Linked DNA regions of Caenorhabditis elegans. The protein of the gene in region 3 purifies or fractionates together with the protein of the main gene of each other region. This does not show direct contact. Each region holds a gene or a part of one and is shown on either strand. Other genes may lie near its edges. The genes, in order: memo-1, got-2.2, nex-1 and Y54F10AM.8.

The links.
Region 1: the proteins of nex-1 (region 3) and memo-1 fractionate together in Caenorhabditis elegans (co-fractionation; one large-scale study listed by BioGRID). This does not show direct contact.
Region 2: the proteins of nex-1 (region 3) and got-2.2 fractionate together in Caenorhabditis elegans (co-fractionation; one large-scale study listed by BioGRID). This does not show direct contact.
Region 4: the proteins of nex-1 (region 3) and Y54F10AM.8 fractionate together in Caenorhabditis elegans (co-fractionation; one large-scale study listed by BioGRID). This does not show direct contact.

What each region holds. Positions count from the first base shown.
Region 1 is NC_003283.11:7,843,659-7,849,222, forward strand, and holds memo-1 (Protein memo-1 homolog), read right to left. Parts: upstream 3,336-5,564; intron 2,956-3,335; 5' UTR 2,879-2,955; coding exon 2,825-2,878; intron 2,511-2,824; coding exon 2,437-2,510; intron 2,086-2,436; coding exon 1,918-2,085; intron 1,872-1,917; coding exon 1,803-1,871; intron 1,751-1,802; coding exon 1,638-1,750; intron 1,589-1,637; coding exon 1,080-1,588; intron 1,027-1,079; coding exon 961-1,026; downstream 1-960. Other genes in the region: grd-8 (Ground-like domain-containing protein), read left to right, coding at 1-257, 381-641. UniProt on the Caenorhabditis elegans protein: Plays a role in the oxidative stress response and the maintenance of longevity by regulating the interaction between GTPase rho-1 and oxidase bli-3. In turn, this serves to modulate bli-3 activity and the control of reactive oxygen species production.
Region 2 is NC_003284.9:6,239,004-6,243,761, reverse strand, and holds got-2.2 (Aspartate aminotransferase), read right to left. Parts: upstream 2,780-4,758; 5' UTR 2,759-2,779; coding exon 2,503-2,758; intron 2,453-2,502; coding exon 1,904-2,452; intron 1,686-1,903; coding exon 1,246-1,685; 3' UTR 1,053-1,245; downstream 1-1,052. Other genes in the region: rml-3 (dTDP-4-dehydrorhamnose 3,5-epimerase), read left to right, coding at 4,704-4,758.
Region 3 is NC_003281.10:5,223,602-5,227,623, reverse strand, and holds nex-1 (Annexin), read right to left. Parts: upstream 2,004-4,022; 5' UTR 2,001-2,003; coding exon 1,488-2,000; intron 1,435-1,487; coding exon 979-1,434; 3' UTR 820-978; downstream 1-819. Other genes in the region: C34E10.10 (rRNA-processing protein UTP23 homolog), read left to right, coding at 1-429, 479-727.
Region 4 is NC_003281.10:2,502,539-2,509,892, forward strand, and holds Y54F10AM.8 (Putative phospholipase B-like 3), read right to left. Parts: upstream 5,435-7,354; 5' UTR 5,433-5,434; coding exon 5,361-5,432; intron 4,960-5,360; coding exon 4,853-4,959; intron 4,426-4,852; coding exon 4,204-4,425; intron 4,079-4,203; coding exon 3,884-4,078; intron 3,688-3,883; coding exon 3,390-3,687; intron 3,329-3,389; coding exon 3,066-3,328; intron 3,019-3,065; coding exon 2,730-3,018; intron 1,670-2,729; coding exon 1,494-1,669; intron 1,194-1,493; coding exon 1,070-1,193; 3' UTR 881-1,069; downstream 1-880. Other genes in the region: Y54F10AM.6 (uncharacterized protein), read left to right, coding at 6,554-6,593, 7,270-7,354. UniProt on the Caenorhabditis elegans protein: Putative phospholipase.

The DNA.
Region 1 (5,564 bases), on a different chromosome or scaffold from region 3:
CCCCACTCTCGTTCTTTCTAAACGGCGGTCTAGGAGGTACTGGTGGTGGTGGTAACAATGGATTCTTCGTTCCGGTGCCTGTAGTCATTCCGCCTCCACCGCCACCGCCACCAGGACCAAACTGTTTCACGAACCCGTCGGGATTCCTTTGCTGTAACGTGACACTTGAGAAAACTATGGAAGACGCGTACCTGGCCGCAAAAGCAGATGGTGCATCACTGTGCAATGTACAGAAAATGGCAACTGCAGTGCAAGCGGTGGGGTTTATGGATTTCATTTTATAATGTAATGTGCTCTTCCCTAGAATTGAATAAGCTTACAACTTGAATTACGACTTGAATTACAACTTGAATAAGCTTAAAATATCCACCAAATTTCAGCAAGCCGAAAAAAAATTCGGAACAACTTTCGAATCAGTCGCTGCTCATTCGGACTTCGTCGCAAAAATTAATTTTGCCGGTGACCTGAACTGTAAAATAGAAATCGATGGGAAATTCATACTAGCGTACGCAACTCCAATCGCCGAGCAAGAGGTGAACATTGTCGATGCTAGCTCATTCTTCTCGGGAGCTGCTGATAAGGATTTGGATGGTGTCAATGGTACCAAGCCCACCTACATTGTCTACGGTCCCATTAAATAATGGAGGGTCTAGCTTTAAAGATTTCTGTATATTAAAGCTGAAATGTGAATTAATTGTTTATTTGCCAATCACAATAAAGTTGGAAATATCATTTGAATAGTTCGAAAGTTTTCAATCGGAATGGGAGAAAATTCGAAAATTTAGGTGGAGGTGAAAAGTTGATGAAGTAACACAATTAACTGTGCTCGAATCCTGAATAGAAGGAGAAAAGAGCCTATAAACAGATTTTCAATTTACACATATTACACAACAATTCAGGAAGAAGACAGTAGTTGCAAAAGAAAATACGTAGAAAAAAGAGTGAAGGACTGGCGGGATGTCAGTTTGGATGTACAAATAGAACTCCTGAAGCATAAGAAACAGAAGAATCGACCGATGATCGAACCTGAAATGGATTTATTGTTGATTGAAAAATATTAAGCAATTCTGAATCTCTACCTTGTTTGATTGTGTGTAATGCAAGAATCTAAACTCGTGAGTGTGATTGTTACTGATCCGGAAATGTTCGGCTGCTTGCAGCATTATCAATATCGGATTACGCCCACAAATCGTGTTCTGGGTCTTTTTGAGGTAGTCATTAAAAGCTGCCGGATTAAGCGTCTCAATTGCGCTCATTCCCTGCTTATCCATATTGGTTATCTGCTCATAAATCGGAATAGAACTATGACGATCGTACGGAGAAAAGCTGAAGCGTTCTCCCCAATGGCAAAAGTCCGAAGAGATCACAAACAAGTTTCTTGGATCCTCCATGTAATGAGCAAAAATATTTCCATACGTTTGCTGCCTAGATCCTGGTAAAGATCCAACAAGTACCGGAACAATGGTGTAACGTTTTGAACCCATAACCTTTGCAATAAATGGGAGTTGCATTTCAATACTATGCTCTGATTCTTCATCTCGGCGATCCATCAAATCGAAATGACGAGTGGCACGAAGCTCCTCGTTAACTGCAAAGGGCAATGTTGTAAAAGATGTACTAAGAGTGCAATAGATTACTTTTGTGATCAACGATCAAGTCGCCGAGTGGAGTTCTGTACTTGCTGCATGTGGTTATAGCACATCCATTTAGAGCAACAACGTGAGATGGGCCAAGAATGAAGACTCTTTCACTGAAAGTTATTGAGTAAGCCCTGTTGCCAAGTACAAATTTCAACAACTCACACTGCTGATGAAACAACTTGTTTGAAAGCATATGCAGCTGTTTCTCCACAATACGAATATCCCGCATGTCTGAAAGTTATCAGAAAATAAATATTAAATGCATTTAGAGTATTACGGTGAAATCAACGCTCGAGCCGTTCCAATCCGTGGACCGGCGTTGTCAAGCCATTTTGTGAGTTGCCGATCAAGATCTCGCTGGTTGGCGTTGTACCATGATCCGGCATGTGAGGCAGATCTCGTGTGCTCGCCGAATCCGTTTAGTGACATTTTAAATTCAGATGGTCTGAATATTAAAGTTTTGATAAATTGTTGTATACGACTTGATTAATATGTTTAGTAGGGTTTTCAACTACTGTGTGTTTCCCAAATAGTCAACATTGAAAAATGGAAAAGTTTGAATTTAAATATTCAAATAATTTTAATTAATTAATATTAAAATTCACAATACAGTGTAACATCACACTTAATTCAAGATGTTCTAAAAATATGAGCCATCGGGCTAGCTCTACTTCACGAATTCGAATCAAGTCCGGGGAACTGGCTCGAAAGAAAATAAATTTTTAATTTGGTTTATGTCCGAAATAGAAATGGGAATCTGGTTTTTCATTCTGAATAATTTCCGAGAAACACTTACAAAATAAAATTCAGATATCTTGCAAAAGGAAGGCCAAATGTCCTGAGAAATAGAGCACGAGAGTTTTGAAATACCTGCAACAACAGGATTTGCTTCTATTTTGTTTTTTGAACTGAATTTTAAACTATTATCTATTCTGAAAACATTTTTTGTCCAAAAAAAATCAAGAACAATTTAGAGCAAAATGTGGCAATCCGAAAATGTTGATGCAACAAAAAAGTGTTTTTTTTTTCATTGAATTTCAGTTTTGAAAACTGATTTCTTTCCAAAAAAAAAACGAAGGAAAATTTTGAGAAAAAAGTGAAAATCCAAAAATGCTGATTTTGGTTTTTTTTTCAAAAAAAAAGCATTTTGCAAAGTGTGTGCTTTTTTTCGAAAGTTTCAGAACCTTGAGACAAAAAACCAAAATTGTGTTCCCGAGTGAAGCCCGCCACGTGGACATGGTCAGACGAATCTTGTTCGTGTTCGCAGCCAATTTTCATTTTTGCTGAACGCATAATTGTTCAAAGAAGATTCGGTCTAAAAAGACGAAATTGAAATAGATTGTGGAATCCTTTGAAATTTTCTTTTGACAAAAGGTCACCGTTATTCAAAAATTGAGATGGTCTCGTGACTAAAATTAAACAATCAAGATAATCATGATTGTGGGCCTGTTTTAAAATACACTTTTCAAAAACGAAATGTAGGCTCCAATCCAAACTGCGCATCAAGACCAAGAATATAAAATTTTTAAACTCGGGAGACGTAGAGAAACTTTGAATATTAAACATCGCCGTCAAGTTTCCGTCAGAGCGCGCCTGAAATTTTTTAGAGGCTTCTTTCAAAAAGCTACCCATACAAATAATCATAAGAAAAACGTTTTAAAACTTTGCATTCCACCCAAAAATGTCTGAAATTACCCGTAAAAAGAATGTGTGAAGGGAGTGATTTGAGGGTTCTGTCAAACAGTTTGACTGTTTCGCGTTCGACGTGTCTCGACGTGGATGGTATTGAAGAGGACCGCGCTGATCTTGTGCTGGTCGTCGTCGTCTTGTCGGACCGCCGCGAGTAGTCTTCAGTCTACCAATTACCTGAAAATTTGACACTTTTTGTGATGTGAAACTGGCTGCCTGAAGCAATGCCATATAATAATCATAATAATAATAATGAAGAGGGATGAGGATGCATGCCAAAAGAATGAAAGGAAAGACGCTCTTCTACAACACCAGCCGATAGTATTTAGAAGAAAAAGAAGACTAAAAAGAGAGTATTGGGTGATGGGAGAAAGAACACAATAGGGGAGGCAGTGAAATAGAACGAGAACAATGGAATCGGCAGACATTTGACACTAGAGGGGCCACTGTTTCAGTCTTTTTCGCACTTGAATATTGGAAGAGGGCCAAGAAGGGGAGTTCCAAGAATGGAAAAAGTGGTAGGTTTGTAGAAAATCTGCCTTTTTTTTTTTAAAATTTCGTGTTCACTACTTTATTTCGTGTTCACTCGTTTATGTCTTCCATTATAGGCAGGCAAAGTTTCATGCCTACATACCTGCCTCATGCCTATTTGACTTTCAATATAAAACTTGATTTTTGGCATTCTTCATTTTATAACAATTGTAACTAATAATAAGCTTTGCAAAGTTTTCTGAAAGAAATTGTCTAAATTTTCCTGGTACACTGAACATTTTTCGGTATAAAATCTATGCGTATCAAGCCTATTTCTAAGAGCCGTAAGTATTTTCAGCTGAAAATGTAAACCACGGAGTCAATATTTACTTCGTATCATCCATCTTCCATTCCGTCTTGTTTACACCTACGGCAGGTATTTAGACACGAATGATTGTTTTTCTCGTTGCCTAATACTTTTTCCCCCGAAATATTCCCATATTCCAGTTCTGAACAATGCACTTTTCAGCGGTCATCGGGTCCATCCAGCCCTCATTCAGCCCTTTCATTTATCTTCGTTTCTACTTTTAGACGAAAATGCAAAAAAAAGAGAAAAAGACACTCTCTTTTGACGCTCACATTCGCTCACATTGCTGTGGTAGAAAAACACTCACTCGGTGGCTGCTGGGAAGGGAAAACGAGAAAATGTTTGGTCACGCAATACGCCTATATCTTTGATTTGACTTTGAATCTTTATACATTTTTCACGGGGTTCAAAAACAATTATGAAGAAAATTGTTTGATTAAATTAGAATGTAGATTCTTTATATTTTCAATCAAAAATTAATTTTGGAAAAATAACTATCCAAAAAACGAAAAAAGTAATAAATGAGTACTTGAAAGTGAAATGGGGCAATTAAACAAGATAAAAAAGACTAAAACGTGAGACATCTCACAACGGGTCACGGGCAAGAAGTACACGAGAAATCGAACGTGAGTGGGGAGGCAGAGACACTCAGCTGACTGCCTGGCCTGACGCTCGCTCACAAAACGCTCTCACTCTCTTCCTCGCTTTGCCCGCTCTCCGCCCCGGGTCGTCAGTTCGGTCGATCCATGTTTGTTCATTTTTATAGGTGAAAATTTATGTAAGGGAACGGAAAATGTAAAGTGATCGTGGGAAAATAGAAAAACAATTACATTGTAACTTTTCTGGACCAAGTTGTACCCAGATGCAATATGTATATTTTTCTCAGAAAATACTGTGTTGGGTTTCGACAGGATCGATTTATCAAAAGCAAACGAGTGTGCGTCTCAACGAGCACTAAAGTTCCCAACTAGAGCATCCTTGTTGTGGTAGAACTACATAGAAATTTTTAATTTTGATTTCAATAGCTTTTCTCTTGTTTTCTCAAAATTTATTGAAAAACTTATTTACTATAAAACGACCAACGACGGATCTGGAAACTACAGTACTCCTTAATGCAAAAGGCAACGAAAAATCAGCCAGTGACTTATTTTTTGTTCTGGATAAAAATCGGGAATATTTGCATTTTGAATTCGCACTGTATCGATAAACAAAACACCGAAGATCACGCCAAAATGACTATTGTAACTAACAGGTACGAGAAAGGGACGCTTGTTCTACAAAAATAATTCAACAAATTTTCCCCAAAAAAATGTGAAGTCCGCAATTCTCGTAGTTTTACGTAAATCAAACCGAGCATGACACTCTGACACCACGTGCGCCTGAAGATGTGCCTGCCT
Region 2 (4,758 bases), on a different chromosome or scaffold from region 3:
CAGTCTAAAGTTTTACAGTCTTGATAGACCAGCGTAATTTTTGCCCATTCGGAAATGTTTCACCGAAGCCTTTTTGGGACTTTTGAATGCAGCAAGAACTGGAGGAATCAAATAGAATCAAACAGATTTTCTTGTTACTGAGGGAACCTGTTTTCTCAAATTATGCTTTTTGTTTTTTTTTTTTTTAATTTAATTATGCAGCCCAAGCTGCTTGGCGTCATCGGTAGAGGCCCGCCATTGGATGGTTGTCGGCTTGATTCGGCGGCCGATATAGATGCGCTCATTAACAACTTCGAGTTGAGATATAATGGAGGATCCATTAACGTAGGAAGTACTGGACTCTGAAAATTCATTGCGCGAGGCTTGCCCATTTTCTCAGCTTATCCCACTTATCGTCTTGAAATCTACTGGAACCAATTTCGTATATATTATTTGAGCAGTTGACTGGAAGTAAGTTGTTGATTTGCGACGAGCTAAATACCATCTGAAAATTCACGGCTAGTTTGAGTTCTGTCCAGGTATGATTTTGTAATCTTTGGTTTCAGTTTTTATAAGGCATTTTGAAAACAAGCTGAAATAATTTTTGAAAAAAAAATAGATTTTCTAACCAATTTATTTTGACCCATGACCGTGACTTGAATTTGCAGAATTAAATACCAGAACTCTACGCCCATGTTTCAGAAAACCACACCGATGCGTTTATCTGAAGTCGAAAAGTTTCTGAAAATTTTGTTAAATAATTATGTATTTAACTCTCTAATGTATTTAACATAATTTGATTTTATAAAAATACTTTGTCTTTTTCCTCGAAAATCTTATGGTTTCAGAGAACTCAAAATATGTGCGTGTTATACCATTCATTGTAAGCACACTTCCAACTAAATAAATTTAAATTTGAAAGTGATATTAATTTTTTTTAATTTTTCGTTTTCAGAAAACTGACAATTATATTTCTTTCAAAACAGTTAGAAACACAACGTTTCAGAATCGAATAATTGAATTAACGTAATTGCTAAACAAATATCGTGCATATCATTTTTCAATAACCAACTCCAGTAAAGATTAAGGTCGAAACCCAATTTATTAAAAGTTCCCATTCTCAGAAAAAAAACAGGCTACAAATAAAAATGAGATAAAGCATACTGCCATTCTACAACCGGAGAATAAGAAAACCGAAAACGAGAAAATTATTCTATTATGACAGATAGAATAAGTTAAAATGGGAAGAGTGCATTTGTCACTGATTTACTTGGTGACTTGGTGGAGAGCGTGGGCAAGGTAAGCGACATTGTTCGATGAAATTCCCGCCACCGAGATACGTCCGTCCTTGGTGAGGTAGACAGAGTGTTCCTTGATAAGCTTCTCAACTTGTTGTGGGTTGATTCCAGTAAAGCAGAACATTCCAATTTGGTTGGTAATGTGCTCCCAATTACGAGTAGATCCCTCCTTGGCGAGCAAATCCTTGAGCGTAGTTCTCATGGTGATGATACGATCAGCCATGAGCTTGACATCTCCGAGCCATTGCTTGTTGAGAGCTGGATCCGCGAGGATGCGGGAAGCAATGCGAGCTCCATGGACTGGTGGGTTGGAGTAGAGTGGGCGAATAAGGATCTTGACTTGAGAAGCAACACGAGCAGCCTCATCAGCGTCCGAGGTAACAACGGAGAAAGCACCGACTCGTTCACCTTAAACAGAATAAATTATAAAAATTATGCAGTATTCAGGGTTAGGGCTACAAAAGGGTAGAAAAGATAGGATAATGCGACACCAGTGATATCCGCGTTATCATGGCCTAACTTCCAACACCAAGAAGAAACTGCGCTCTATTGCACAAAAACAATACATTTCGTATTGAACTCCAGCTTGTAAAATTCAAATTTAACAAATTAGTATGTAAACTCACCATAAAGTCCCATGTTCTTGGCAAAGGATTGAGAGAGAACAATGTTGTGTCCTTGCTCGACAAAGTAACGAACAGCGAACGCGTCATTGTCAACATCTCCGGAAGCGAAACCTTGGTAAGCCATATCGAAGAAGACAAACAAGTTGCGTTTCTTCACAATGTCGGAGATCTTCTTCCACTGGTCACGGGATGGATCAACTCCAGTTGGGTTGTGAGCACAAGCGTGAAGCAAGATTGTGGATCCTTCCGGGATTTGAGCAATGTCAGCGAGTGCTCCAGTTTCATCAAAACCACAGGTGGACTTGTCATAATAGCGGTATTGCTTGACATCGACTCCGGCAAATTTGAAGATTGGAACATGGTTTCCCCAAGTTGGTGTTGGCTGGTAGATAACCTTGGTCTTGGCGTACTTAGAAAGGAACTCAGATCCGATTCTAAGGGCTCCAGTTCCAGAAATGCTCTGAGTGGTGAAGATTCTCTTGTTCTTGATCACATCAGAGTTCTCTCCAAGAGCGAGTTGAGCAGAGAGCTTGGTGAACTCGGGAAGTCCTGCAAACAAATAAAGAGTTCAAATGGATCAATAAGTTTATAACACTCACCAACAATTCCGGCGTACTCCTTATCAAGATTGGCAGCGATCACTTGACGTTCAGCTTCCTTGACCGATGGGAGAACAAATGGCTTTCCTTGATCGTCACGGTAAGCTCCGACTCCAAGGTTGATCTTCTTTGGGTTTGAATCGGCTTTGAAGGCCTCGGTGACTCCAAGAATCGCATCTGGTGGTCCCATCTCAACATGCGACCACCACGACTTTCCTCGCACGGCGGTAGAGAAAAGCTTCTTGGAAACGCTCATTGTTGATTGGAGAAAGATTACCTGAATATTCAATATTAATGTTTCGAGTGGGAACTTAAAAGACGTTTTGAAAGTAGGCGTGGAAATCACGTTCCGATTAGAATGAAGCAACGAAACATTGATAGCAGGGAAGACTAGAGTACGTACAACGCATGATTCCTTATCCGAAGAAACAAAAATAAAATAAAACGTGGGTATCATTATCTTTACCAGGACAATTATTTGAGTGTTCAATGGTGTTTGAATGGGCTGATTGGACACTTTTTTTAAATTCAAAAAAGATACCCTAGGACACTCCATTCAGGGTACTAACCACATTTCTAGCCTTTAGCAACGGCGTGGCATCAAACTAGGCTAAAATTGTAGTTAAACTTATTGACTCTATCAAAAACAACTGATGTGAAACAACAAAATGGACCGACTGCACCGCCTATGAAAGAATGGACGCGTCTGCTCATCTTATCCCAGTCCACGAACTGGCAAGGAAGACGACAAGTGAGAAGAACTGGAGAAACTAGGTTAGAGAGTACGGAGATTCGAGAGAGTGTAGGGTGGCAGAGGAAAACTCGGGCGGCCGCGGCAACGTGAGAAACATGCGGTTCGACGATTCAGTCGTTTTTGTGTAACTCGGCGCTCGAGAACTGGTAAACAGTAAGTAAACTGCGTTCGAAAAAAAATATAAGAAAATCGCCGTACTTCGGTCGTGAAATTATTTGTTTAAATAATATAATTTTTTAAACTTTTCTATTAGCAGCACCGTGTTCGCAAAAAAAAATCTCAAAGAATTTTTGATGAACGGAAAAAAAGCGACTAATGACTGTAAAAAGGCAAGGAAAAACTGAGGCCAACAAGATAAATGAAAAAAAATTTGGTTGTTGTTGTGGTTCGTCACTCTCAAAGGTTCGATATTGTCCGCGCGCGGCCGGAGAACACAGGTTGGTAGGTCAAAAGTGCTGGTGGCACACGGATATTGGAAGTCTTAAAATTCAAGATGGTGTCTTACTTCAAAAATTGAATTTGGGATAGCAAAAAAAAATAAATTTAAAGTACAGAAAAAATATAAAACATAGAAAAAAGTTAATGAAAAATGGTTTTTATATTAACGTTTGGACGTTTGGAAAACCGCTCAAAATTGTGTGAAGAATTTCGGATATATTCTGGAAAGGAATCCACCAAAGTGTTGGAGTTTTTTCCCGTCATTTTCAAAGATTAGGACAATTTTTGAGTTTTTTTTTCGATTGTTCCAAATAAAAGGAAAATGATTTTCAGATAAAGCAACCAGTTTTCTATAATCTTTAACTAAGGTATAATTTTTATTTTTTGTTGAATTGCTTGTCGGAAATTATAGCGCATCCACGGTCGATAAAATAAAATGTAAATTGTAAGATGGTTTAAAAAATTTTTCTAACATCTGGAAACAAAAACGTTTACAACTGAACTGCCTGTGAGTATAGTGTTATCATTTTGGATTACCTCTTGTGAGCAAACTTCAATACATTCAATTCTGATAAACAAAACCTAGCACACGTCACACTAACCTGTAGTGTTCAGATAGAGTTTTTTGAAAATTACTTTTAGATTGTCGCCCGAATTTTGTGTAATTCACTTTGTGTTACAAATTTACAAATTGTTCAACATTTGTGTGACTTTCACGTGGACATCCGTAAACATTTTGAGTCCTTTGTTTCTCTCAATTTTTCTCTCGATTTGAGTGCAAAATGATTTTTGCGATAAATATGAAAGAAACTCCAAATTTTGCCTAGCCTAGAGAAAAGGATCTATTGTCTCCGGGAGGTTTCGTATCGCGGAATCGAGACCGGCCTAGAACAGGATCTGTTGTCGGGAAGAGATGAGATTTCTAGGACACGATATGAACGATGTCAAGGCTAAAAAGGTTGCCTTTCTCGAGAAGAACCGTTCATTCTTGCCTGACTCGCATTGAATAATGTCGCATCCTACTCCAGGAAAACGTTTCCAACTCGAGAAAGAAGTCATCGAGG
Region 3 (4,022 bases):
CGAGCAAATCGTCTGTTAACATTCTACAAATACAACTACAAGTTTGTCGCTCCTTATCGTGTATTAGTTGATGGAACATTCTGCAATGCGGCACTCCAAGAAAAGCTCAACCTTGCTGAACAAATTCCAAAATATCTCACCGAGGAGACACACCTAATGACAACAAATTGTGTGTTGAAGGAACTAGAAAAATTCGGACCACTTCTTTATGGAGCTTTTGTCATTGCCAAGCAGTTCGAAATTGCAGAATGTACACATTCAACTCCCCGAGCGGCTTCTGACTGTCTTGCTCATTTAGCTCGGCGAGCTGCAAGTGGAAAAACCAAATATTTGATTGCAACCCAGGACGATGAATTAACTGAAAAGCTGAGAGCAATCGTTGGAACACCGATTATGTACATCAAATTTAAGACTGTGCTACTTGATAATGTGAGTTTTTAAAAACTGAGTGTACTGGAAAAAACATTTTACGTTTCAGATTTCTGAAGCTACAAAGGCTGGCTGTTCTAAAGAAGAATCCGAAATCAAGAAGCTAAAGGAGTTAAAAAATGCGCTGATCGGCCAACAAGAATTGAAGAAGAAGAAAAAGAAAAAAGGAGTCAATCCATTGTCGTGCAAGAAGAAAATTATGAAAGCGTCTGTGGATATCGTCAGAACTGGAGAGAGAACTGCTTCAGGAAAGAGGAAAAGGACAAAAAAGAAGGGATCCTCCATGGATGAAGAGTAAAACATAATGATCTCTTCCGTTTTTACTTGTTTTTGTTGATTTTTAATTTTTTTTCTGTTGAATGAAAATTCATTTTGTGAACGCAGATTTTTTTTTAAGATTTTTATTACAAAATGCGACATTTGAACATAAAAAATACAATCCAGTCTGGTACATATTAGGAGAGGAATGCAGGTAACATTTTAGGGGTTGAAAAGTGAATTTTAATACGAAATTAATGAAGTAAAGCTTGGGTTTGTCAATTTCAGCATCTAGTGGGCAGTAGCGTGGTTTCCATTGATGATGGAGAGCAGAGCGTCACGGTAGGCTCCAGAAGTGTCTCCCTTCACTGTGTCGGCCAAGCTCTTAGAGTAGAGCTCTTGGAATTCGGCCTTGATGAGCTCCAAGTCGACTTCGGAACGAGTGACGATGACACGGATCAAGTCGTTATCGCGAGTTCCGAGTCCTTTCATGGAAGCGTGGAGCTGCTGAGCGAAGAACTTCTGCTTGTCGGAAGCGGCACGGACAATGGTGAGGTAGGATTTCTGGAGATCTCCGGAAAACTCCTTCTCGATGCTTTTCTCGATAGAGCCACCAGCGAGTTCCTGGAAGTAGGCGAAGACCTTGCGGAGCTGGTATTGATTTTGAGTGGCGAGGATGTGAAGGAAGTGTGTTCCGTCCTTCTTGGCAAGCTTGGCTTTTCCGTCGGCGAACAGGCGAACAGCATCCTAAAATAAGAAAATGAATAATTGATCACAGTGAAAAAATAAAGAAAACTTACATCCTTGGCCTGAGCGTCGTTGGTATCATGAGATCCGTCTTTGGATCCAGTGACCAAGCTGACCAAAAGATCACGGAATTCTCCAGAAGTATCTCCAGCGATGTCAGCTTCCAAAGCCTTTCCATACTCCTTCTCGTAGGTCACACGAATGGCGCGGAGTTGATCAACAGTTCTGGAGCACAAAATCTCGATGAGCACAGCCTCGTCAGTTCCCAATCCCTTCATGGCAGCCTTAAGCTGCTTCACATCATAATCCAATGGAGTTTCCATGAGAGCGAAGATGGCCTTCTCGAGATCTCCAGAGAACTTCTTGTCAAGAGCCTGGATGATGTCCTTTCCGTACTTGAGCTTGTATGGCTCGCGGAGCTGCTGGCGCTGAGCGTTGGAGATCGAGGTGATGACGTTGACAACAGCGTCCTTCTCTCCGGCACGAAGAGCACGGTCGATCTTCTCAGCGAACATCGGAGCATTGAACTCTCTAGCGTCGACGATTGTAGCGTATGGGGAAGTCATTCTGGAAACAAACGTGTAATTATTAGGTTTTAAAAGTAAGAAAGAAGCAGAAAAATGGAAGAAAATGAATGGATAAATGAGATGGCGTCTAATATTTATATTTTTCAGTTTTTTGTTTTTAAAAAATTCGGCGAATACAAATTTGTTTACACAGTTTGTTTACTACTGTATACAGTTGGTACGCATTCTTGCGGTGTTTGCGGGTAGTGCATCACAAATTACGCCATGTTTTTCAAGAATGTTTTAAACAATTATATAATTAATTTTTGTTTATGGGTTAAGTGAAAATATCTACTTATATATAGGATGTTTGTAATCTTTTTTGAAATGGAAAAATCCAGGCACTTGTTCCAATCCTGGCCAGAGAGAAATAAATGAACATATTTCTGGACAAGAAAACCGTCAACTGATAAGCAAAATGAAATGACAACACTGAAACAAAAATGACTGTTCACTGAGTGGTAAAGAGGGGCATCTGGGGACGACTAAAAGGAAGAGCGCCGCTGGGGGAGAAAATGGGCGGAGCCAAGAGGGTGATTCATCGCAAACGATAGGAGAGATAGAGATTGAGAGAGAAAACAAAAACAACAGAAAACAGTGGAGAAGAAACATAGGCGGATGATGAAATACAGATAATATTGGATCTTCTTTGTCTTTTTTTTGAGGCAATTGAAAAAATTGAAATTAAACGAAAATTGCGAAAGTTATGACTCATTAGGTTATATAGGTTCTAAATTCTAAATTTAGAATTCATATAAATGATCTAATGTAACACCTCTTCAGGTCCATACCAAAAGTGTTTATGGGGGTGAATTTTAATTTAGAAGCGAAAAAACCAGCATCTTCTCTCGTTTCTCAAATTTCATGCTATCATTTCTTGTTTTTTAACTGGAGTCCCGAAATGAGGGATCGATTTCCTTGTTGTTTTCCCTCCAACAAACATTTTTCCTGCCGGTTCAGGGACACCAACAGGCACCGATCTTCTACCAATTTTTTGTGTCCGTTCGCACATTGAATGACCTGTACGATCGGTGTAGTGTTCTAGTTGATGTGTAACGGAGAGAGAGAGAGAGAGGATGATTCATGGTGTATGGGTAGAAACAAAAATTGTGAAAATTAGAAATTTTTGTGATGAAAAAAACAGAGTTTTTTTGGTAAGAAATGCAAAAACGAGGAGAGCATGACTAAGAAATTTTGTGTTATTAGAAAAATGAACAAATTAAAGTCAAGTTTTTGAGAGCTTGCCCTTCAATGTTGACTGAAATGAAATTTCGTGAACAATTTCGGGCAGTTCAACCTTTTTTGAAACTGGCCCAAAGTTTCTCGAAACGGATTTTCTACGATTTTTCAAAGATTTATTGGAAAAGTTCCTTTTATAAACTTGCGCCATACCTTGCCCAGACTTAGTTTAAGCCGGGCCAATCTTTGATACGAATTTGTTTTTGACTAGTGAGTTGGTTTGAACTTGGGTAAGGTTTTGGCAAGAATTGGATGAAATTTGAGATAAACTTTGGCACGGCCTAAAGTATTTTCCAAGTATTTTCGAAGTTTAGCCCTAGTTTTGTCAACTTCTAAACTGAGTTAATATTTTATGAGTCGCCAAATGCCGAGAAATTAGATGAAGCGTTTTAAATTTTTTGTTAAGCATTCCTACGAGTTGCTTAGATAACTCTATTCGCGGCGTTTCATTTTCTAGATAACTGAGAGTTTTATCAAAATATGTGGAATAGCCATATATTACTTCCGTGGCATATGCAAATGTTCTTGTTGATGTATACTATGTGGAATTTGAATGGTTCACAAGGCCATTGGTCAACGATCAAATTTGTCAACATAAATTGAAAAAGACCGCGTATATAACTGTGGCCAATCTTTTTTTTTGGTTGGTATTGAGGGAATAAAAGGATTTGGAGAGTATTTTCAAAAGTATAGGAAGTTAATAACTGTACATTAAATGGGATTTTATTAATGGAGAGGAGAATAAAAAAGTTCAAGAAACGGATTGGTCTTGATGTAGTAGCA
Region 4 (7,354 bases), 2.7 Mb from region 3:
CCACGATGGGTCTCACCACGATGGGTCTCACCACGATGGGTCTCGCCACGATGGGTCTCACCACGATGGGTCTTTCCACGATAGGTCTCACCACGATGGGTCTCGCCACGATGGGTCTCGCCACGATGGGTCTCGCCACGAAGATCTCGCAGCAACATTTTTTTAAATTTTCCAGAAGGTTCTAGAACAATCCAGAATTTTTTCGAATTTTCCAGAAGGTTCTGGAACATTCCAGAATTTTCTAGAATTTTCCAGAAGGTTCTGGAACATTCTAGAATTTTCCAGAAATTCCCAGAAGGTTCTGGAACATTTCAGAATTTTCCCGAAGTTTCCAATTTCCCTTCCAAAGACGGAAAGTCAATTTTTCCTAAACTACAGTAATCCTACAGTACTCCTACAGTACCTCTACAGTTCTACTACAGTACCCCGACCATATCCCATTAATAACTCCAAACCTTTATCTCTTCAAAAGAAAAAACTCAATTTTTCCTAAACTACAGTAATCCTACAGTACTCCTACAGTACCTCTACAGAACTACTACAGTACCCCGACCATATCCCACTACTAACCCCAAACCTATATCTCTTCAAAAGACAAAAACACAATTTTTCCCAAACTACAGTAATCCTACCGTACTCCTACAGTACTACTACAGTACCCCGCCCATATCCCCCTACTAACCCCAAACTAATATCCCTCCAACAGCCGAAAACGCCTTGCCTTTGTAAGCTATGACATTTTATTTTTTCGTCTAAAATTTTATTTTTTCGTCTAACATTTTTCTATTTTCGGTATCGGTTCAAACCTGTAGAAGTTCATTTTTTTAAAGTTTAAAAACCTGGAGGAGAAGAGAAGAAATGGGTGTTCCCATAAAGACGGTTTCTTTCAGTTCTTTGCTTCATTAAACTTAACTGCCAACTCTTTTGAGGTCAGACTAACCATCCACTCGAATTTCATTTCGTTTCGAAAAACCGTTTCATTAAAAGCTTCTACACCAAAATTTAGGAGTGAAAAATTGATTTAAAATGTATAAAAATTGGGTCATCAGAATAAAAATGGGGTAGAAATCTAATTATCATATGGTGTCAGTTGAACTTGTGCTGCAAGTTGCCATTCCAAATCAACATAGGTAAAATTCCAGACATCTGGCTGACCAAAGTGACGAACGTTTGTTAGATTTGTGTGATTCCAGCTGAAAATAATTAGTTGAGTTGAAAATTTGAATTTTTAAAATTCCACTAATTCCACTAAACATTTCAATTTCAAATTGATTTTTTTTTTGAATTTCGGCAAAAAATGCGTTGGGAACTTCAATATTTGAAATTTCCTGTCGAAAAACCTTTTGGAAAATTAGAAAAATTGCAGTTTCCCGCCAAAATTTAGTTTGAAATTTTTAAAATATAAAACTTCCCAGTTTTTTTTGGAAGTTTTAAAAAATAAATTGAAACGTGAAAACTTTAGTTGAAAACTCAATAAAATGCCAGGAACTTACTCAAAAACTGGAAGAGGATCATATGGTGGTCCACCCCATGCACGGAATCTCATTTTCTTGAACATTTCATAGTTGGTTCCCTTAAAATCAAGTCCAGCATGATCTCTGAATCCCATTGATTCGACTTCGTAAGTACCTCCGGGAGTGTTCAAATCACCACGAGCAGAGATACCTCCCTGGAAATAGTTAACTTTTTAGAGAATAGTCAAGCTTTTCAGGCTTCAATTAACACCTGGCAGGCAGGCAGGTAGGCATGTAGCCAGGCAGGCATAAAATGTTAAGTTGCAAAGTTATAGAATAATAATTAACAGAAAACCTTGTTAGTAGACAATTTTTGATTAAAAAAGGGAGCCGAAATATAATATGTCGAAGTTTAGAGATCGATGCACCAGGGCTGTGCGGCTGGTGAGTCGGCTGGTAGAGCATTTTTAAAGTTTACAGTGTGTAAGAAGTTACTAATTTGGAAATAGTTATTTCAGTTGAATAGAGCGTCCCCTGAGCTAGCTATTAAACAAAAAATTTCGAAAAAAAACCTGTACACACGTTTAATAAGCACGTTTTTTGAATCTACCAGCCGACAGCCGACAGCCGACAGCCGACACCTGAGAACTTTAAGCCGTATCAGAACGGTGACTGATTTTTTTTCGATTTTTTTTTTGAAAAAACTGTCCCGTGGGTCTACTTATTAGAATTTTATAATTACTTTAAAATCGTTTTTTGTTGACCCTGTGAAAACTTTAAAAATGCTCTACCAGCCGACTTGCCAGCCGCTCAGCCCTGCGATGCACCATGTGCAACTCTAGAACTATTCAACTTTGGCAGCCTATATCTCGGTTCATTTTTGAGATATCAATAAAATTTCAACTACAAAATTATAGAGAAAGAACTAACAAACATTTTGTCAATTGATAACTTTTTGATAAAACCGAAGATAGCTGAGATATGGCCTGACAAAGTTCAGAGACCGATGCACCACGTGCAAAACTAGAACTCCTTATCTTTAGAAGCTCAAATCTCGGCTTATTTTTGATATACCAACAAGTTTTAAACTACAAAATTATAGAAAAAGAAATAACCAAAGTTTTGACAATTGACAACTTTTTGATAAAACTGATTACAACTGAGATATCGGCTTTCAAAGTTTAGAGATCGATGCACCATGTGCAAATCTAGAACTATTCAACTTTGGCAGCCTATATCTCGGTTCATTTTTAAGATACCAAAAAAAATTTTTACCTCTCCAGTATACGGATTGGGTGTGCACTTGCATCTTGCAAACTCCTCATGAGTATAATCATTGTATCTCATCAATTTTGTCAATGAATCAATATCAGTGACTTTTGAATGATCTCTATCAAAGATTCTTGCACGTGGGGAGCCTCCCCAATCGAACCATGCAAATTGTCTGGCCTTGTTGTCAAAACCGGAGATCTCGCTGACTTTTGGAAGGAATGGAATGTTGTAAGAGGCGAAATAGGTGTACTTCTTCAGGTACCATGTCATGTCACGGGTCTCGTAGTAGCCACTGAAATTTTGAGGGATTACTGCTTGTTTGCTTAGGTGCCTACTCACGGTGTCTGCTCGGAAATCCAAAGAACATCCTTGTCGGGGAGCTCCTTCTCAGGAGTGAATTGTTTCCAATCCAACACCGTCCACTGATTGTTATAGGTTCCTGAATTGTACCGTCCGAACATGTCAACCCATTGTTTCCCGGTTCTTGAGAGCAAGTTCGAGATCATCGATCGGATCCAGCAGTGAACTTGTCCTTCTGGTTTCATGAACTTGTCAGTATACAGGGTTTGGTTGAAAATCGCAATTGTCGTTTCGATAGAGGTCTGTAAGATCATAAATGCATAGGCTTCAGGCAGGCATGCATGCCTACACAGACCCACTTACCAATCCAGCAGAGGTGATAGTGTAGTCATCGGTGGAAATCAATACTCCCGGGTACCCGGAGAAAGTAACAATATGCCCGGGAACCTCGTTGACGTCATATCCGAACTTGTAAATTTTGAGAACTCTCTGCATCCAACTGAGAGAAGACATTGAGACATGAGCCATGAACATGTCCTTGTTCCCTGGAGCAAGTTTGACGAATCCGGAGCATCTTCCACCTTCTGGGTACTCCATCGGGTCGGCGGTTTTGTTGAGAAGCTTGTTCAGGTCAAACATATCTCCGGCTAGTTGCATCATGCTGGAAGATTTATCACGTAGTGAGTATAGAAAGGTCTCGTGGCCTAGAAACCTTGGCGGTCGCGCTTAGGAAAGGCGTGACGTCACATGGCATTAAGAAACCCAGATAGTTGGACTTAGTTGCCTAAGCCTAAGCCTAATCCCATGCATAAGCCTAAGCCCAAGCTTAAGCCAGTTTTTACCACTACTAAACTCACTAAATTGGGTGAAGATCAAATCCGATTTCTGGTGTCAAATTTCTCTTGCTATAGGCATCGTAGATTCCGGTGAGCTGAGCAAATGTCAAATTGACCTGACGCCAGAATGGATCCGTCGGTGGATTGGCCTGAACTTGGCTTCTCATCCAGTCCAAATTTTGTTGAAGATAAATGTAGAGACGTTTGCAGAACAAGCTGAAATTAGTGGGAAATTGAGCAACCGACCAATTAGAGACGTTGGCTCCGCCTCCTAACAAAACGCTGATTGGTTGGAGCTCATTCAAAAGCTTTTGACTTAGATTGAAACAAAACCAACATACGTATGATTATTGCACATTGTCTCAATAGTATTACGATAGTGATAGTAGATTTGAAGGCGAGTGAGCTCTCCTTCTGCAACTCCTGCTCCGTATGCTTGAACATCATATGAGTGACTGGCGAATGTTTCAATCTCGAGAATTCCCCATCCGGTGGTGTTCACCTGGTTTGAGTATTTTCCCAGAGCAACACGGGATGCTGCGTTTTTGCATTCCTTGGCGTATCTGAAAAAGTTTAAGTTTCTAAAGTTTATGGATGATGAATTTATACTTGTAATTAAACTGTAAAGTTCTATGAATCAAACTTAATTTTTAGTTGACCATATTTAAATAGCTTGATAAAAATCAAGCAGCCGACACTTGACGGGATTTTCACGCTCTATTAGTGGCCGACACTGCATGGGTTTGGTTTCGGTGCTTGATATATTTTCAGACAGCAGTAACTCAGAATCTAGACAATTTGGTTGAAATTTTCCAATTGGTAAATGTATTCTTGCACTTTTTAGTTTAACACTTGTCTATATCTTCACTTAGGAAAAAGTTATAGCGGCCGACGTCCCACAGGTTCGCTTTGGAAATATTATATGTTAGATTTCATTTATTTTCACTGCCCAACAAATAATGGGTCTCAAAAACTGAAAAATAAACTCACACAATATCCAAAAGAGTCTCATCTGTAGAGTTTACACAGACTGACACATAGGTATAGTCGAATTTGGCCGAAGAATGGTCATTCAGGATTTGCTCAACTGGGACTCTCTGAAAATTTTTCGATTAGTTGTATTTATAGTGACACCTAAAATTGACAACACTTTTTGCTCACTTTTACTTGCCGGAATCTTCTTGGCTTGGTCTAGGCTTAGGCTCTCAAACACAGTTACGTAGATTTATGTCCATAGCGGGTAGATTTAGGCTTAGGCTGAGGCTTAGGCTTAGGAATAGGTTTAGGCTTAGGCATAGGCATAGGCATAGGCGTAGGCTCAGATTTAGGGTTGGGGCTAGGCTTAAGCTCAAGCTTCGGTTCTGAAGCTTGGATTCTTTCGATAAATTGAGCAAAACGTGTTGTCACTTTAAGTTTCTGAAAATTTCTATTTTTAGCTCGACTCGCTACATGGGCGAGAAAAACTTAGAAAACTAAGCCACCGGCTTAAAAAACTCACATTATTATCGAGATATGGTTTTTCTTGCTCTACAGCAAATATTAACCCAAAGAGAAAGAAGAGTAACTTCATTTCTGAAAAATATCAAACATCACTAACTGAAAATAGAGAAGAAAAAATCAAAAAATTGGCCTAAAATCGGGAAGAATTGCGAATGAAAATGGTTTTCATTATCATCAATCTATCAGAATGATAATGAGACAGTGTACAGAGAGACGACGTTATCAGTTAACGGAGCACAGTGCAATCAGACTGATACCCGTTGTTCGGTTATCTCCTGATCAAATTTGATGGGGAGAACATGGAAATTTATTGGACACGCGTGTACTGGCCCGGCCAAAATTTCCGTGTTTTTTACCCAGTGCGTCCCAGAACTCTATAAAATAGCCGAATGGCAAAAATTGATTGATTTTTCTGAAAATATCGAAGCGTTGAGATCAGGGCTGTGTGGCATTTTTTTTTCGGCAAACGCAAAAAACTGCTTATTTCAACATGATAATCCAACTTTTGGAATCCAAAATTAATATAGCAATGTAGAAAAAGATTTGTTCCATCTCAAAATAACATTTATTTTTATTGAAAAGCTCGAAAAAGACCTCAAATATTGCCTGAAAGTTGCCGTTTGCCGAAAAACTATTAATGGCACTTTTTCGACAAACGACCACTTTCAGGTAATATTTGAGGTCTTTTTCAAGCTTTTCAATAAAAATAAATGTTATTTTTAGATGGAGCAAACCTTTTTCTACATTGCTATATTTATTTTGGATCCAAAAATTGTTCTGAACCACCACTTGATATTCTTTAAATCTTATTTTCCATTTTCACTTCCTAATTCCAAGTTGCCCCGGGGTTCAAGGTTCAACCTACATATACCCCCCCCCCCCCACCTTTCCTCAATAAAATACGGAAGTACGGTTCCAGTACTTGAACGGAAAACTTGTAAGCAGTTTCGGGTGGGAGATAATACAGGGGCGCATCCGGCTACTTCTCTAATCTCCTTGCAAATCCTCATCATTCAAACCAAGGGGCAGATCGAAAGGCAATAAGTGGACGAATACACATAGCTGTCGCCGTTTTTATAATGATTGACCTCTTTCGGTCATGTAAGTGGTCTCCTCCCTTCCCGTGTGTTGATCCGTTCTTCTTTGAAGATACATCTATTCTCACTAGTTTATGAGATCATCTCTTCACGAATGAGACTTCTCCTCGGCTTCTGCTTGCTTCCTATACTTGGTTCGTTTTTTTTTTTTTGAATTGAAAACTTATAACATCTGAAACTCGAACTCTACGATTTCTTGTGGGCTCAAAGGTGTTACCGGCTGATTTTTTCCCTTTTTTGTAGCTGTGAGCTTTAAGGCACTACTACTTATTATTTTGTTAGTTGACACAATTTTGATATCATTTTCCGTTAGTGAATTGCATGGTTTGGAAAGAATGTTTGTAATTTTTTGGAATTTTTACATATTTTTTTCGTTAAGGTTCTGTAACTTAAACATTGTGAGTGCTAACAAAATGTTGTCAACTAACGAAATACTTATTAAAACGTGCTTACCATTTTGCCAATTGACATTTTTTTCGTATCACTTTTTGTTCGCGAGTTACAGAGCCTGGAAGAAAGTTAAGAAAGTTACTAAATGGGTGTTGTAGGAGTACTGTAGGGATACTGTAGCTAGGGTACTGTAGGGGTAGTGCAAGGATACTGTATGCCTATTATAGGAGTACCGTAGCGACAGTGTAGTGTAGCGACTACTGTAGAGTACCGGTCGGGGCTATCAACAAAAAACAGTGAACAAAAAACAAAAATTGTATTTCTCCAAAACATTCCTAGAGACTATGAGGTGCTGAAAGGTACTGTAGGAGTACTGTAGAGGTACTGTAGACCAATTTGATTTGTATGTATAATTTTCAGTGTCCTCCCAGCTAGCAGCAGTCTACTCGGACGCTACAAGAACGGATGTTTGCAGCAACTGGAGCAGCTGGGGAAAGTGTGTGTG